Linked DNA regions of Arabidopsis thaliana. The protein of the gene in region 1 interacts with the protein of each later gene in a pairwise test. Each region holds a gene or a part of one and is shown on either strand. Other genes may lie near its edges.

Region 1 (8,349 bases):
ATTATACGAGTACGGCCCATTTAAGTTATCTACAGCCCAATATCAATTTCCCAGATCGTCACGTCCAAATTTGTCGGTTCATACACCTCCGCGGCTCGGTACAAATCCCAAATTCCCCAAATGATTCACTGAGTCGACTCGACCTCCTCATATCCCAAGTGAGATCTTCTTATTGTTTATCCGTTTGGTTCGTGATTATAAATTTTAAATCTTGCAAGATGTTCTCATACAGTTATCGCTACAGATTTCGTTCGAATTGTTTGGTTGAAATGTTTGGATTATGGATTCAGGACCCTTGATTTTGCTCTTTACTTGATTAAGAACATCTCGACGGATTCTAATTGGTTTTCTTATTGTATAAATGTAGTTTTTGTCGAATAATACTGGATTTAGGGCTTTTCGTGTATAAAAACTGTTACTTTTGGCACATCACCTGTGAGATCAATTTAAAAAACCATTGAGGTTCTGATCTATATCTGATTCTCACTTATGTCTTGATTTCACCATCTGATATTGATCAGTTTATCTGGAACTGATGTTGTAAACCATGTCTTGTCTGTGAAAAAACAAGCTCTGTGTTATGTATCTAAATGTTGACACATGAATTTCAGTGTTTCACAATGTCATAATTCTTGTTTTGTTACCTATATGCTATTAGGTGTTAGCGTCTGAGTTCAAATGATCATTTTATAACCCTTATGATGTGACACTGATTCCAATTTTGATTTTGGTTTCTCTCTAGATTTTTTTGTTTGGGTTACAAAGCCAAAACGAGAGATTACAATGGCACCATCACGTAACATCGTTGTAGCCACCGGTTTGGTTCTTTTCGCATCTGCAGGCTTAGCTTTCCCCTTTTACATGGCGTAAGCACCCTATTCTATCTCTCAAATGTTATTTTCTCATCTTGTGGTATGACATTTGTTGTTTACTCTGTCTCATTTGGGTTGCAGATCTTCGAAACAACCAGTTATCGATCCAACAAAACCATTACCTCCTCAAGCAACTTTTAGAGGACCTTACATAAACACAGGCTCACGCGATGTTGGACCTGATCATCGAACTTACCCAAAGAAATGATCCAATCAAGTCAAAACAATTACGCAGGTGTTTTCATTGTGAGCTTTGTATTCATAAGATAATATCGTTTTGTAGTTTGTTCTCCAATCCATTTAAGTCGTTGTCCTTCATGTAACACCAGTCCAACTTAACCATTGAATGTAACTGAAGAAACAGATTTATTCCTGCATAAGAACTTGATTTTTGATTGTCTAAAAAGTTTTGAGACTCAAAATCACATAACTTGGACAATACTTCTCAAATCAAAGCTTAGATATATACGCAATGAGAATCACTGTTTCAATTTTTTTTATCTCAGTTAAAGTGGAGCTCTTTAGATTCTAATCAAAATTAACAGATTTGAGAAATTGAGCAATGAAATTGCAATCGAACATTGGAAAATTAAGTAGATTTCATAGCCGTGCCATAAATTAAAACCCTAATTCCCATATTACATAACCCTCAAAGATACCCAAAAGCATAAACCCTATTTCACATTCCAACTACTACTACTACTTCTCCTCCATTACAAAACCACATTCCAAATCTAAGAACTCGTAAACTTCGTAACCGCCTTAGTCCCTTCAGAAACAGCATGTTTCGCCAACTCTCCAGGCAACACAAGTCTCACCGCAGTCTGAATCTCCCTAGAAGTAATCGTCGGCTTCTTGTTGTACCTCGCAAGCTTCGAAGACTCACCAGCAAGTTTCTCAAAGATATCATTGATGAAACTGTTCATGATTCCCATGGCTTTGCTGGAGATTCCGATATCTGGATGAACTTGCTTCAACACCTTGAAGATGTAGATCTTGTATGTCTCAACGTTCTTCTTTGATCTCTTCTTCTTCTTGTCTCCGGCGCCGGCTGGTTCCTTCGGGAGTTTCTTTCCGGCTTTTGGTTTCTTCTCTGCCGCTGCTGCTGGTTCGGCTGCCGGAGTTTTCTCTGCCGGTTTCTTCTCCGCTGGTTTCTTATCTGCCTTCGCCATTTTCAAACTTTTCTAGGGAGTGAGTTTTTTTTGCTGTGATGGTTTTGATTTGATACTGTTATCTTCGAGAATTGTGTGTTTGTTTATATAAGAGAATAGGAAGAGATCTGATTAGTTAAGATACTGAAACGCGGATGCGTGACGTGGAGATATGAGTGCTGTTCGATGAAGGGTTTTGGTGAATGGATGGTTCAGATCTATTTTACTTTAATGCGCGAGTGATTTTAAATTTCTTTTTCGAAATATTGAAAAATTCGAATTTTCTGTTGCGCTTTTTGTTATCCGCCATAAGTTCATGAAGCGGCAAAGAGAGAAAAAGTTTTTGGCGTGGATAGCTGACGTGGTTACTTTTGATCCGTCTACCAATGAACGGCTATGATTTTACCGTATCTACAAAGTTGGTAACAACTTTTTCCTATCTAACATTTTTATGGAAATGAAGAACTAATGCATAATTATAAGTTTTCAACTCTTTCAAAATTCTTCAAAAATAACCAACTTTTTATAGATACAAATTTTGAATTTCTCTAAAATACAAACATTTAGTTCAGCTTAATAAGTTGGACTCATCTTAATAAGTTAATATGTAGTTGTATTTTAACAGAGTTAACGATGTTTCTTATATTTTCTTAAAATTCTGCATGATATATCAATAGATAGTTGTTGATTAATCTGAGAAGTGAGAGACGTATTAAACATAAATTTTGATTCTCACTGATTCCACATATTTCTGAGATTAGTGAAAATCTATGCATGATACCCATCAGAACCAAAATCATTTGTAACATTAACGTTAATGCACAAGTCACTATGATACAAATCTGTATATTATCTTATCTTTGTGACATTAATTTAGAGAATATAGAAACTCGTGAAAAGAAAAAGAACAAAAAAAAGAGAGGGAGTGAATGCACGTGTCATTTCTTGAGATATCGTCTATGAAATCTCTATAGACCTCAAACTTCCTATGTTCTTACTTTAGGGTGATTGTCGGCGGCTTGGACGACCCATGTGCCGGTACGTGGCCCAAAAACAAAGAAACGTGGCTCATCAGCTTGTCTTTCCTAGAAAATTTAGTCCCACAAGAGCAAACCCACTTTATATCCCCACAATGCTTCTCGTGTGTCCTAAGATCAGACAGAACCGAGAAATGCTTCACACTACATCTCCTGCACATATACATTTTGGGACAATGACTCCTCTTGTAATGATTCTTGGCGCAAATCACAGATTTCAACGGTTGAAACTTCTCGTGCCTCTGGTTCCATCTACACCCGTGTTGAGGACAGGAGTAGTAATGTTTCTTTAACGAGTATCCTCCTTTCTTGTCTTGGCTCGTTGGGCTGATCAAGGCCTCACGTGTCTTGTACTCATCCCCGTGCGCTCTCATGTGCATCCTTAGATTAGCGTCTCTCTTAAACCCTTTCCCACAAATCTGGCAGTAATGCGTGTATTTCGCTAGTAGGTCCGCTACGTCTAGCTCCAGTATATCGTAGCTCCCGGAACTTGGTTTAGAACGATGTTTATCTTTTTTAGGGTTTATGGTTTCGGTGTTGTACCAATCAAGATTCTGGTCGGGAAACGAGATCTGCCCTCTTTCTTGGACACCAAAAAGGTTGGTCGACTCTTGCACAAAATCATGACCCGGGTCGGTTTCTTGTCGGGAAAACTCCAAAACCATTGCATCTACGGTTTGATCATTATCGATATCGTTGTTGTTGTTGTTAGATCCGATTTGGAGTTGTTGGCAAGTATATAACATGGATGAAGCAGCCGTGATGATCTCTTGAACCAAACTTCCGATGTTAGCCACGGCCAAAGACGTTGACCCCGAGGATTGGTTAATGTTATTAGTAGATACCATGTAGAAGCTGACCAGAGATTGGATCTGATGGACTTTTTCATGTAAGGTAGATAGATTGTATAGAAGAGAGAGTGAAACGTCGTCGTCTTCCATTGATTTCGTCCCGGTCGTGGTCACGGGATTAACATAGATTTGTTTTGAGGAAGTACTGGTCTCCCCGGAGAAGCTAGAGATTGATCCTTCAACTTTCTTTGCAATATGCTCATCTCGATTCATCATATGTATATGCATGTATATGAAGAATCTAGCTTGAGTTTTGTTCTTATATTTTCTTTGGATTTTGTTGAATCTTTAAATTCTTTGTGGTATATTTGTTTCATATATATGCCAGACGGTCCAGACTCTAGAGAGATGCAATGAAGAAGACACCCTACCCTCTACCGTATAAAATACTCGCGAGTTGTGACATACATTCACACAAAATAACACACACAAACAAATACATGTCACACATATAGTAATTTATTTTTTCGTTTCACTTTATCAAACATCTTAAAATCGGAAAGATTATACTAAATTGAGTAAAATTTGAAAACTAAGCTATTGAACCTAACTATATTTTGAACCTTGCAGTTTATTAGTGATTTAAAATCCAAAAGATATTTTGATCCAAACAAAATATTGTAATTAAAAAAAAAAACATTCTAATTGATATATTATGTCAAGTAATGTTTTTTTTTCTTAATTTAGAAGTTAGAATTTAAGAATTTTATGTTTTCTAGAGACGGGACACACGTTAGGTTACATTCATCTGTTTTAGAAAGAAAAAAAAAATTAGCGGGGGTTGATGAACCCTTAATCAACCATTGGGCCAAAGGACTTCCACAACTATATTTGTTTATGTTTATGTTTGATTTTATTTAAAATCAGATATTTAATTAAAGATTTACAAAGATGTTTTAAATTAAAAAGACATCTAGACGTTTATAAATATACGATACATAGAAGTTGTAAATAATGTCTTTTTGTCAATAATGACAATAATATGCAATATACAGATTTTGATGAACCCGGATGCTGGCAAGAGAAAACGCTAGAAAAGTTCAATAGACTAAGTTTTTGTCGTCATGAATGATGTTTTTTCTTCTCTCTAAATGCATTTGTCATGTATATGAATTATTTACATTAGGTTGAAAATGGAATAATAGAAGTATGTGATGTGGTTAGGATTAACTTGGAAGTCAACTCGAGATAGCAAAAGCGACCATCCCCACATAAATCCTCCCCCGGATGAAACCTTAACTAGACTTTGTCAGCTACATCTTATGAGTTAAATAAACGAAGAAGGTCAATCCCGATGTAATTAAAGAATGATTAACCTAAGTCAAGTGTTAGTGTTCTTTCATGGCCTTTTCTTGTATTGTTCTATATACAATACGTTCTGTAACTGTCAAGCTCACATCTATATAATATCTTATGTCAAATCCAATCCTTTAAAAAAAAAGTTGCGACTACATTCAGTTCTCTTATCTGCTTACATGCACACATATTTTTTTTTCTTTTCATGCACACATATTTGTACACGCGTGCATATACGATTATATGATTGGATCTTACATGAAATGTTTATAATGTGGCCATCGGCATGAGTTGCAATTATATTAAATAAATATTGCTTATGCGTGCTCATTTTTTAATTTCGGAAGAAGTAGTTTTGTTGGTGACTAATCAAAATTTCTATGCAGTGATGATGATATGGGTGATCAATGCTGTTTCTTGGGGTTAGCTTTGGTGAGTTACGTTACTTTTTGTCCTTTAGAAGAAAAAAATGCCACGTTAGTTAACGCTTTTTAAAAAAAAGAAGTTGCTGCTACCATTACAGTGACAGTGTATTCCACATGCGATTCTAGTAGAGTTTTTTAGTTCTTTTTGCTGGGAACCAACCTGCAAACCACATTTGTAAATAAGACGTTATTAAACCAGACTTCACTAATATAGGCCAGTCGAACTGGCTCACCACAACATGGGAATGTAGGATGACATGAATCTCTGAATTACAAATGTCATGTATATAATTACCCTCAGTTTTAAAATGCTACACCAAACAAATTCAACTCAACTACTTTAATTTAGTTTTCAAGTTTCCAATATGTGACCAAAAAGTGAAAGCTAACAAAAACAAGACCTTTGCGTAGCTGGGAGTTCGAACTCCACTTTCCCTATTATTACGTACTTTGTCAAATAAAAAAAGAAAATATAAAGAAAAAAAATACACAAATTTCTTTTGGAAAAATTATGCTTGCTACCCAAGCTAACTATTTTTGAATGAGTTTTAAATTGCAATTTCAAATTCCTCCAATCTGATCACCGGGACGTGAGCAAGAACACGGGATCGGAGATGATTACTCGTCATCATAATCTGATGATCCATCGGAATCACCGGAGAAATAGAGGCGGCACGTGGTATCGCCAGAAGTTGGATTGTAATTTCTTTCTTCATGACCTTTGGCAATTTGTCTGTTGTAGTTTGCTCAATTACCCGTAAATTAGCAGAATTAAGTTGTAACCTGTAAAAACTAACAGTAATCAGACAATCCTTTAAAATATATATATTTATGTCGCCGGCCAAAACCTGTTTCTTGTTGGTAACGTTTGCCCATTCATTATTTACTATTATTAGGGTTTTAAAACTCAGATGATCACTTGTTCTTTAGATTCTGTTACCTAAACAGTAAAAGAAGAATTAATTCATATAAAAGATCCAAATCCTTGTAATCCTTCTCCGATAACACATTGCTCCTGGAATCTTTTTTTTTTTTTAATTTGTTTCATTTGAGGGTTCATCATCATCAATGGAGGTGTTTGGAGATAATAAGATGTTTTACATGAGAGACACATGGAGAGAAGGAACCATGATTTGTGACGTCTTACCTATCAACCCTAGCTCCAATGGTGTTTGGCCGCAACAAAAATTCTCAGATCCTAACATCAATGTTCATTTCTGGAATTACGCGTTTCCACACTTGCAAATGATATTTCTCATCATCTCTTTCTTATGGCAATTCTTACATTTCTTCCTTCGACGTCTTGGCATGATACGTTTCACTTCTCATATGCTTGTAAGTAATCGAAAATCTCGATTTCGTTTTCTTGTTATCTGGATTTGAAATTTGAGGTTTGTGTTGATCTTTGTTTGTAGACTGGTGTTCTTTTAAGCAAGTCTTTTCTAAAGGAGAATTCAGCAGCGAGAAGATTCTTTTCTACAGAGGATTACAAAGAGATTGTGTTTAGTCTCACTGCTGCTTGTTCTTACATGATGTTCTGGTTCTTGATGGGAGTTAAAATGGACACGGGTTTGATCCGAACCACAGGAAGAAAAGCTATCACCATTGGGCTCTCCTCTGTTTTACTTTCGACGTTAGTTTGTTCCGTTATCTTCTTCGGAAACTTAAGGGACGTTGGAACGAAAAACTCAGACCATACTCTCAATTCATTAGAGTATGTTGTGATTTACTCAATCCAATGTCTTTCTTCTTTCCCCGTTGTTGGAAACCTTCTCTTTGAGCTCAGGCTACAAAACTCAGAGCTTGGTCGTCTAGCGATATCTTCTGCTGTGATAAGTGATTTCAGCACCTCAATTCTCGCTTCCGTTCTCATATTTATGAAGGAGCTCAAGGACGAACAAACACGGCTCGGGAGTGTGTTTATAGGTGATGTTATTGCAGGGAATCGTCCTTTGATGCGAGCAGGGATAGTGGTTCTCTTTGTATGTATTGCCATCTATGTTTTCAGACCGTTAATGTTCTACATTATTAAACAAACACCTTCCGGTCGTCCCGTCAAGGCAATCTACTTAAGTACAATAATTGTTATGGTTTCTGGTTCAGCCATTCTTGCCAATTGGTGCAAGCAATCTATTTTCATGGGACCTTTCATCTTAGGTCTTGCTGTTCCTCATGGTCCTCCTTTAGGTTCTGCGATCATTCAGAAGTATGAGTCGGCTATATTCGGAACTTTTCTTCCGTTTTTCATTGCTTCATCTTCCACGGAGATCGATATTTCGGCTTTATTTGGTTGGGAAGGTCTCAATGGTATTATACTCATCATGGTAACATCTTTTGTCGTCAAGTTCATCTTTACTACTGTTCCTGCTTTGTTCTATGGTATGCCGATGGAAGATTGCTTCGCTCTATCTCTTATCATGTCGTTTAAAGGCATCTTCGAGCTCGGTGCCTACGCCTTGGCCTACCAAAGAGGGGTATGTAATTATGTATACACACATAATGAAGTTCATAATCATAATTAATCATTTCAATACAAAGTTTATCTTATGTTTATGCTTTGAACATTGCAGTCTGTCCGTCCCGAGACCTTCACTGTGGCGTGTCTTTACATAACGTTGAACTCCGCAATCATTCCTCCGATCTTGCGGTACTTATACGATCCTTCGAGGATGTACGCGGGGTACGAGAAGCGGAATATGCAGCATTTGAAACCAAAC
Region 2 (6,584 bases), on another chromosome or scaffold:
AACAAAGTTTCTCACCAAAGACCATAGAGAACTCGCATCACATTAGATATCATCAACTAGGATCCTAGTGGAATATCCCAAACCAAAGAACATACAATGCATCTCTGTACTAAGAGACAATGATCATATCACGTGAATCAAGAGGATTCGTGGGAAATACAGATCCGAATGTTCGATCTACACATGATAGCACTAGATCAACCTAAATGTCAAACAGATCGGAGAAACAAAAAGCTCGATCTAATTACACCACCTTTTTCCATGTATTCCGATCAAATCATGAAGGATCAACGCAAGAACAACAATGAAGAGAAATAAAACTTAGTGGATTTGATTTTTACCTGGATTGGATGAATGTGAGTCACAGAGACAAAGAGAAGAGAGTGCTCCAAGAGTCACAAAATGATTATAGATTGTGGAATTGGTTGATCCGTTGAACTTTATATTAACTATTATCAATGTGACGCGTAATCTTCGCTCGCCGACAAAATTTTCGTCGTGTAAGATCCTTATTGGCTTTTAAAATTGACATCCATTTCGACACCTCAATTTCAAGATATTACAACAAAGAAGATCACATTTTTGATTAGTACAGAAAGACCCCCAAAATTCGGAGGAATTATTATTATCATACGATTCAAAAAAAAAAAACAAGGCCAGAAGCTTACAAAAGCGTTTAAATGATTTTGTAACCAAGGGTAAAACATTTTGACAATCTTTGAGGTACAAACAATTTCAGAGACTGGATTGTAACCAAATGGGACAACATCAAGAGGTTCTCATACGTGATCATGTTCATCCATCGAACGAGCCGAGCTATTTCAGGTGGTGCTCAAACAACGACGCCATTTCGAGCTGAAAAACAAGAGGAAGAAATATTCAAAGACTTTACCAAAAAGACATAAGAACCCGAATGGTTATAACATGACCAGTTGCTCAATGGAATGATCAGGAATTTCTACATCTTATTCTAACAATAAAGGATTGAATCATAATGATACTTACCGCCGTCAAAGCAGTTTCAGCTCCCTTATTGCCGGCTTTGCCACCAGATCGATTCAGAGCCTAGAGTTTCAGTTAACCACAATATTAACAAATTCAGTGTTCATCCATTATGATGAATAAGCTATATATCATCAACTCTTGCATAACACAACTTAAACCTGATCCATGTCCTCGCAAGTCAGTACACCAAATATGCATGGAACGCCTGCAAATTGGATTTTTTATAAGCTTTAATTACTAGAGTCAATAGTGCGTAAACACAAAATTTGAAGAAGTAATTCATGATGAGGGAATTTAAACATCCAAAATCCAAAGAAAAGCAAAAATGAACTACCCGCTCTTTTAGGTTCGGAAGTATACAAAATCAATCTTTCAGTGTTTCCAAAACAATGTCAAATAAAAATGTCTAAAGATGTATATCCAGCAAATAAGTATCGAGGTAAACCTGAATTTATGCTAGCAGAAAGTACTCCAGACGCAGCAGAGTTGGCAACAGCATCATAATGTGTGGTATCTCCTCTTATCTAAACCACAACAAGGACAACAGTAATATCAAAATCCAACTCTTTAAGTATATGTTATCAACATAAAGCAACTACTTTCTGAAGCCATATGAGGAGAAAAACAAATGGAATAGCCTGAGATTCTTTCAAAACAAGAATCATACCACAGCGCCGATACATAAAACAGCATGAAATTTTCCCGATTTCCCAAGATTTTGTGCAACAACACCAATTTCAAAGCTGCCAGGAACCCAAATAACCTGAATAAAAACAGTGTCATTAGCTTTGTGAAAGCTCATAACTTTTTATTCTGTTCTACAAGCAAAAGACTTTTACTTCAATGTCTTCTTCTCTGACTGAATACTTCTTGAAAGTCTCAATCGCTCCTTCCAAAAGCAACTTAGTCACAACCTCATTGAAACGAGCTACCACCTTGAGAAAGAAAAATGAATCAGAACCAAGTCAACACTGCAATTGAGCTCAAAGTTTTCAAATTTCACTGTAAATCAGAACCAAGTCACTAAATCTAAGCAGCGCACAAAGTAAGAAAGCGATTCTGAGAACTCACGATGGCGAATCTAAGACCTTCGCCTCTGATAAGAGACCCCGTAACATGGCGAACAGCAGCCGTCTGTACGAATGAAGAGCGTAATTCCTTCTCTACAGCTAGTGGTGACGCAAATCCTAACACCAAATGTTAACATCTCAATCACGAAATTGCGAAAAAACGATTTGAGTTATTATAAGAGAAGTGAGAGAAAGCAAGCTTACCGGATGTGGATGAGGAGAATGAGAGATTATTGGATTTGTTCACAGAAGAGCCACCGTGTATATAACAGGCGGAGGAAGATTGACGCGAATTGAGCTGACGGTGTGCCGTCGGTATCAGGCGGAGACACGGCGGCGAAGCTAATGACTTCATTTTTCGTTCGTCGGAGTTTTAGAGACGGTTCTTCGTTCTTCAGGTTAAGAGTGAGACTGTGAGGTCCATTAGCTTATCAAATCGGTTCAAGGCTTCCGGTTTATTATTTTCATTAAAATTACGGTTTCATTGAATCTATTAGTTTGGTTAGAGATTTCCGGTTTGATGAAAAGGGATAAGCTAAACCCTACATCCCCAATCACTCTCACCGGCCGGAAATTTTCAGACAAAAGTGAAAGATTTAAACTTTTGACTCCGTCGTAACAAAGAACAAAACTTCCGTATCCTGGAGAGTAAATTCCTTTATGGCTACGAATGGGTACGTTTCGAAACCTACGAATTTCACGTTTTGATTGACGGAGATGAGCTTTAAACTCTTTAAGAGGATTCTATTGAATTTAAACGATTTGATCACAGGTTAATGGCGTCGTCCAGTGTGTTTCTTCATCGCCCGCGTATCGCATTTGCTTCTAGAACGAATCAGACTGTAGGAAAATACGGTAAAGGCCGTGTTAGTTTCATGGGCATTGGGACACGTCGTCTTCCGGTGGTTTTATCCATGACGGCGATGGCGGATTCCGGTGAGGAGGCCGTGAAATCTGTTTTGCCTGGAAATGGCATATCCATCATGGTAAACCTGATCATCTGATGATTTCTCTTAGACTCAAAGTTGTGAGATTTGACTTTGCATTACCATTTAAGTTTGAAATGTAGAAATGTCAAAGCTTGTTCCTTTTGAAATGGGGATTTTTATGTTGGATTTAGCTATATTCATTATCTCTTATTCTACAGGTGAATGGATGTAGTGGCAAAATGGGGAAAGCTGTAATTAAAGCAGCAGACTCTGCAGGAGTAAATATTGTTCCCATATCGTTTGGATCTGCTGGTGAGGATGGTCAGAGAGTTGAGGTCTGTGGAAAGGAGATTACTGTGCACGGTCCAACTGAAAGAGAAAAGGTTCTTTCTTCGGTGTTTGAGAAGCACCCGGAGCTAATTGTTGTCGACTACACAATTCCCTCTGCAGTAAATGGTAAACTTCAGAATCTCTCATTTCTACCATCAAAAGACAATTGTATTCTAGATTTGTTGAAGTTATGGTTGAATTCTGGTTGGCGGAACGATCCTTGATTGAGTTAGTTTAGAATTTGTGCAAGTGAAAATCATCTGCTAGAAGTGTTTTTTTTGTCTATTGTTTGTTGATTTCAAGTTTGGTATTCTCGCAAAATGTAGATAATGCGGAGCTGTATAGCAAAGTAGGTGTTCCTTTCGTCATGGGAACAACTGGTGGAGATAGGAACAAATTGTATGAAACTGTTGAGGAAGCAAAGATTTATGCTGTGATTTCTCCACAGATGGGTAAACAGGTATGTGTACTTGAATGTTTCTGGAAGAAATGATTACTTATGCATGTAAGTTAAGATCATTTTTGCTCATATTTGTGTGCTTTGTTGGTCTATAGGTTGTAGCATTTCTTGCGGCCATGGAGATCATGGCTGAGCAGTTTCCGGGAGCCTTTTCTGGTTATTCCTTGGATGTACTTTTCTTACTTCTTTTATACATTCAAATTCTTTTTTCTTTCTCTGTTAGTTTTATATTACTTCTTGCTACATCTAATCAACTGCCAATCTATATGTAGGTGATGGAGTCTCATCAAGCTAGCAAATTGGATGCATCCGGAACAGCAAAAGCTGTTATTTCTTGCTTCCAGGAATTGGGTGTGTCTTACGACATGGATCAGGTGCATTGGTCATCCTTTATTGTTTACATCTTGGCAATCACTTAATTTATCCTCGGAATGTGAATTTTCTGTGTATACAACTTTTGTGGCAGATACAATTGATTCGGGATCCAAAACAGCAAGTGGAGATGGTGGGTGTACCTGAGGAGCATATCTCTGGTCACGCTTTCCATCTTTATCACTTGACATCACCCGATGAAACGTAATGCAATATCTAAGATATTGTTTATACTTTTCTTTGTTTCCATTGTAAAAGTGTCTCTGTTCCATAACTAGCTCCCTTTTCTTTGTCTTTCTTTGCAGTGTCTCCTTCGAGTTCCAGCACAATGTCTGCGGCCGATCAATTTATGCTGAGGGTACTGTTGATGCCGTGCTCTTCCTCGCCAAAAAGGTTCTAAAGCTTGCTCTTATTGCTCATCATGATTCTGCGAAATTGAATCTCAGCTTTCTCTGAGTCTCACCGCTCTTCTCTATAATGCTAATTGTTGATTCAACACTTTTGTGAAATGCAGATTCGATTGAAAGCAGATCAGCGAATCTACAACATGATCGATGTCTTGAGAGAGGGAAATATGCGTTGAGCTTTCGAGTTTTGCCAGTGCATTGACCAAATGGTGGTTGTAGAAGAGCTGAGATTAGATTTACCAAATCATCAGCTGTGAAAATTAGATGTTTGGTTTCCCACTTCTTCTGCCTTGAGCACAGGCTTTTGAAATTCCTTGGTATATACAAGAACTTGCCATTGTATTGTTCATGTTTTGACCTCTTTACCTCAATGTTATTCTCCTTTCTGGATCATTGAAGTGAAGTCTTATTGATCAAACTTCTCCACAACAATTCTCAGACAAAGTAAAACCTAAATTCATCAAATGGACCCTTCACTTACCATTTGATGATTCAACATCTAAAATGAGATCAAGTGCATAATCATAGTAAGGAACTTGACCACTCAATCCGCAGAGATTGAAATCATCTTGTATATAATCTTAATCGACAAAGTTTATTCAATCTGGTGTTGTTAAGATTTTTGGCTTTTATTGTTATTCTCATTGAACAAATGAGTCACTTCGACTGTTCTTGGCGGTATGCATTTTAGGGCAGGCAACTAAGAAGAACTCCGGGGAGTCTTTTAAATGTGTAACAGTGACAGCTTATTTGGGCTTTAAATGGGCTTCTCATGAGACACCAAAGAACGGTTTTATGTTCCATAGGCCATGAGAAACAAATGAGGGAAAGTAAGCTCCATCAATGTCTGCAATAAGCATTAAGGAAAGAAGCTGCTGGTCTTGTTGGTAGTATATATCCATATAATTAGCAAGACTTGTGAAAGTATATATTCAGTGTCGAGCAAGTGTCACTAATTCATAATGCAAAAGGAAGGAATTGGAATCTGAATCGGATTCAGATCCAGGCAAGGTAAACACATTCTCAGACCATTCAATGACTCCCCAAACCAACTCGCGCTCAAGCAAAATTAGTGCACACCAAATCTCCGTTTTACATTCCTTAGTATACGTCTTCCACCAAACTGTCACTCTCCTTCCTCCGCCAGGGCTTGCCACCGAAAGAAGATAATTACAAGACAATTCTTCAAGTCCCCCAACCGTCCAATGCCACGCCATAGCGCCACGACAGCGAACTAGTTTGAGTTTCCCATCGGAAACCGATGCTTGGAAGTCTTGGTTATCGATCTTTAGCATGCAAACATTTGGACACAAGTCAAGCTTGTCCATGGGTGTATTGTAATCAAGCGTGTCCATCGTTGTAGTGTCATAAACTTTTCCACTAATTAGGAGGCCACAATCAGGAAAAGCTATGCCATCCTTTATTAGAGCACATGGAATCACACCCTCTTTGTTCAAGGCACCTTCCGGAAATGGCTCCCAAGTTTGAGTCATTGGGTCGTAAATCTCTCCCCAGTTTACGCTGTTATGGTACTCGCTGCTGCATCCTCCGTACACATTGATCTTACCGTCAATCACATTAGCGGCTGCTTCTTTTCGAGCTATACGCATTTTAGGGAGTCGACGCCATTGATGAGATTTACAATCGAGAACATAAGCTCTCCTGCTTCTCTTTTCCTTTGCGACGAATCCGCCCAGCAAGTAGATCTCTGAACCAGTTGAGACAACAGTTGAGCAATTGGGATGTGGATCTGGGTAAGGAAGAGAAGGGAGTGGTATCAGTTTATGTTTAGGAGTTTGAGAGAGTATGAACCAGCTAGGGTTAGGGTTGTTGTTGTTATTCAGGTTTAAGCAGACATAGAGGCAGGTCTCGTTTTTTAGGATGCGGAATCGTTCGGCTTCGAGATCAGGCAAAGCGAGGAGTGATCTGAAACTCTTGGATACGAGAGAGAGAATTGGATCGTGGGTTCTCGAGACACGAGACAAACAGTTGAAAACAACGTCGTACGGTA

Evidence for each region. Proteins that work in one complex are often made in the same cells at the same time.
Region 2: the proteins of AT5G22890 (region 1) and COS1 interact in binary tests that used the Arabidopsis thaliana proteins (3 or more experiments, as listed by UniProt).

What each region holds. Positions count from the first base shown.
Region 1 is NC_003076.8:7,650,524-7,658,872, forward strand, and holds AT5G22890 (C2H2 and C2HC zinc fingers superfamily protein), read right to left. Parts: upstream 4,313-8,349; 5' UTR 4,140-4,312; coding exon 3,018-4,139; 3' UTR 2,734-3,017; downstream 1-2,733. Other genes in the region: AT5G22875 (uncharacterized protein), read left to right, coding at 784-866, 954-1,080; HTB2 (histone B2), read right to left, coding at 1,607-2,044; CHX3 (cation/H+ exchanger 3), read left to right, coding at 6,701-6,967, 7,048-8,106, 8,203-8,349. UniProt on the Arabidopsis thaliana protein: Probable transcription factor. Together with STOP1, plays a critical role in tolerance to major stress factors in acid soils such as proton H(+) and aluminum ion Al(3+). Required for the expression of genes in response to acidic stress (e.g.
Region 2 is NC_003071.7:18,220,150-18,226,733, reverse strand, and holds COS1 (6,7-dimethyl-8-ribityllumazine synthase / DMRL synthase / lumazine synthase / riboflavin synthase), read right to left. Parts: upstream 2,522-6,584; 5' UTR 2,431-2,521; coding exon 2,280-2,430; intron 2,193-2,279; coding exon 2,077-2,192; intron 1,941-2,076; coding exon 1,845-1,940; intron 1,769-1,844; coding exon 1,673-1,768; intron 1,530-1,672; coding exon 1,451-1,529; intron 1,211-1,450; coding exon 1,164-1,210; intron 1,066-1,163; coding exon 1,006-1,065; intron 856-1,005; coding exon 817-855; 3' UTR 501-816; downstream 1-500. Other genes in the region: AT2G44040 (Dihydrodipicolinate reductase, bacterial/plant), read left to right, coding at 2,736-2,749, 2,848-3,061, 3,223-3,460, 3,661-3,794, 3,890-3,964, 4,067-4,168, 4,261-4,370, 4,472-4,559 and 1 more; AT2G44030 (Galactose oxidase/kelch repeat superfamily protein), read right to left, coding at 5,506-6,584. UniProt on the Arabidopsis thaliana protein: Catalyzes the formation of 6,7-dimethyl-8-ribityllumazine by condensation of 5-amino-6-(D-ribitylamino)uracil with 3,4-dihydroxy-2-butanone 4-phosphate. This is the penultimate step in the biosynthesis of riboflavin.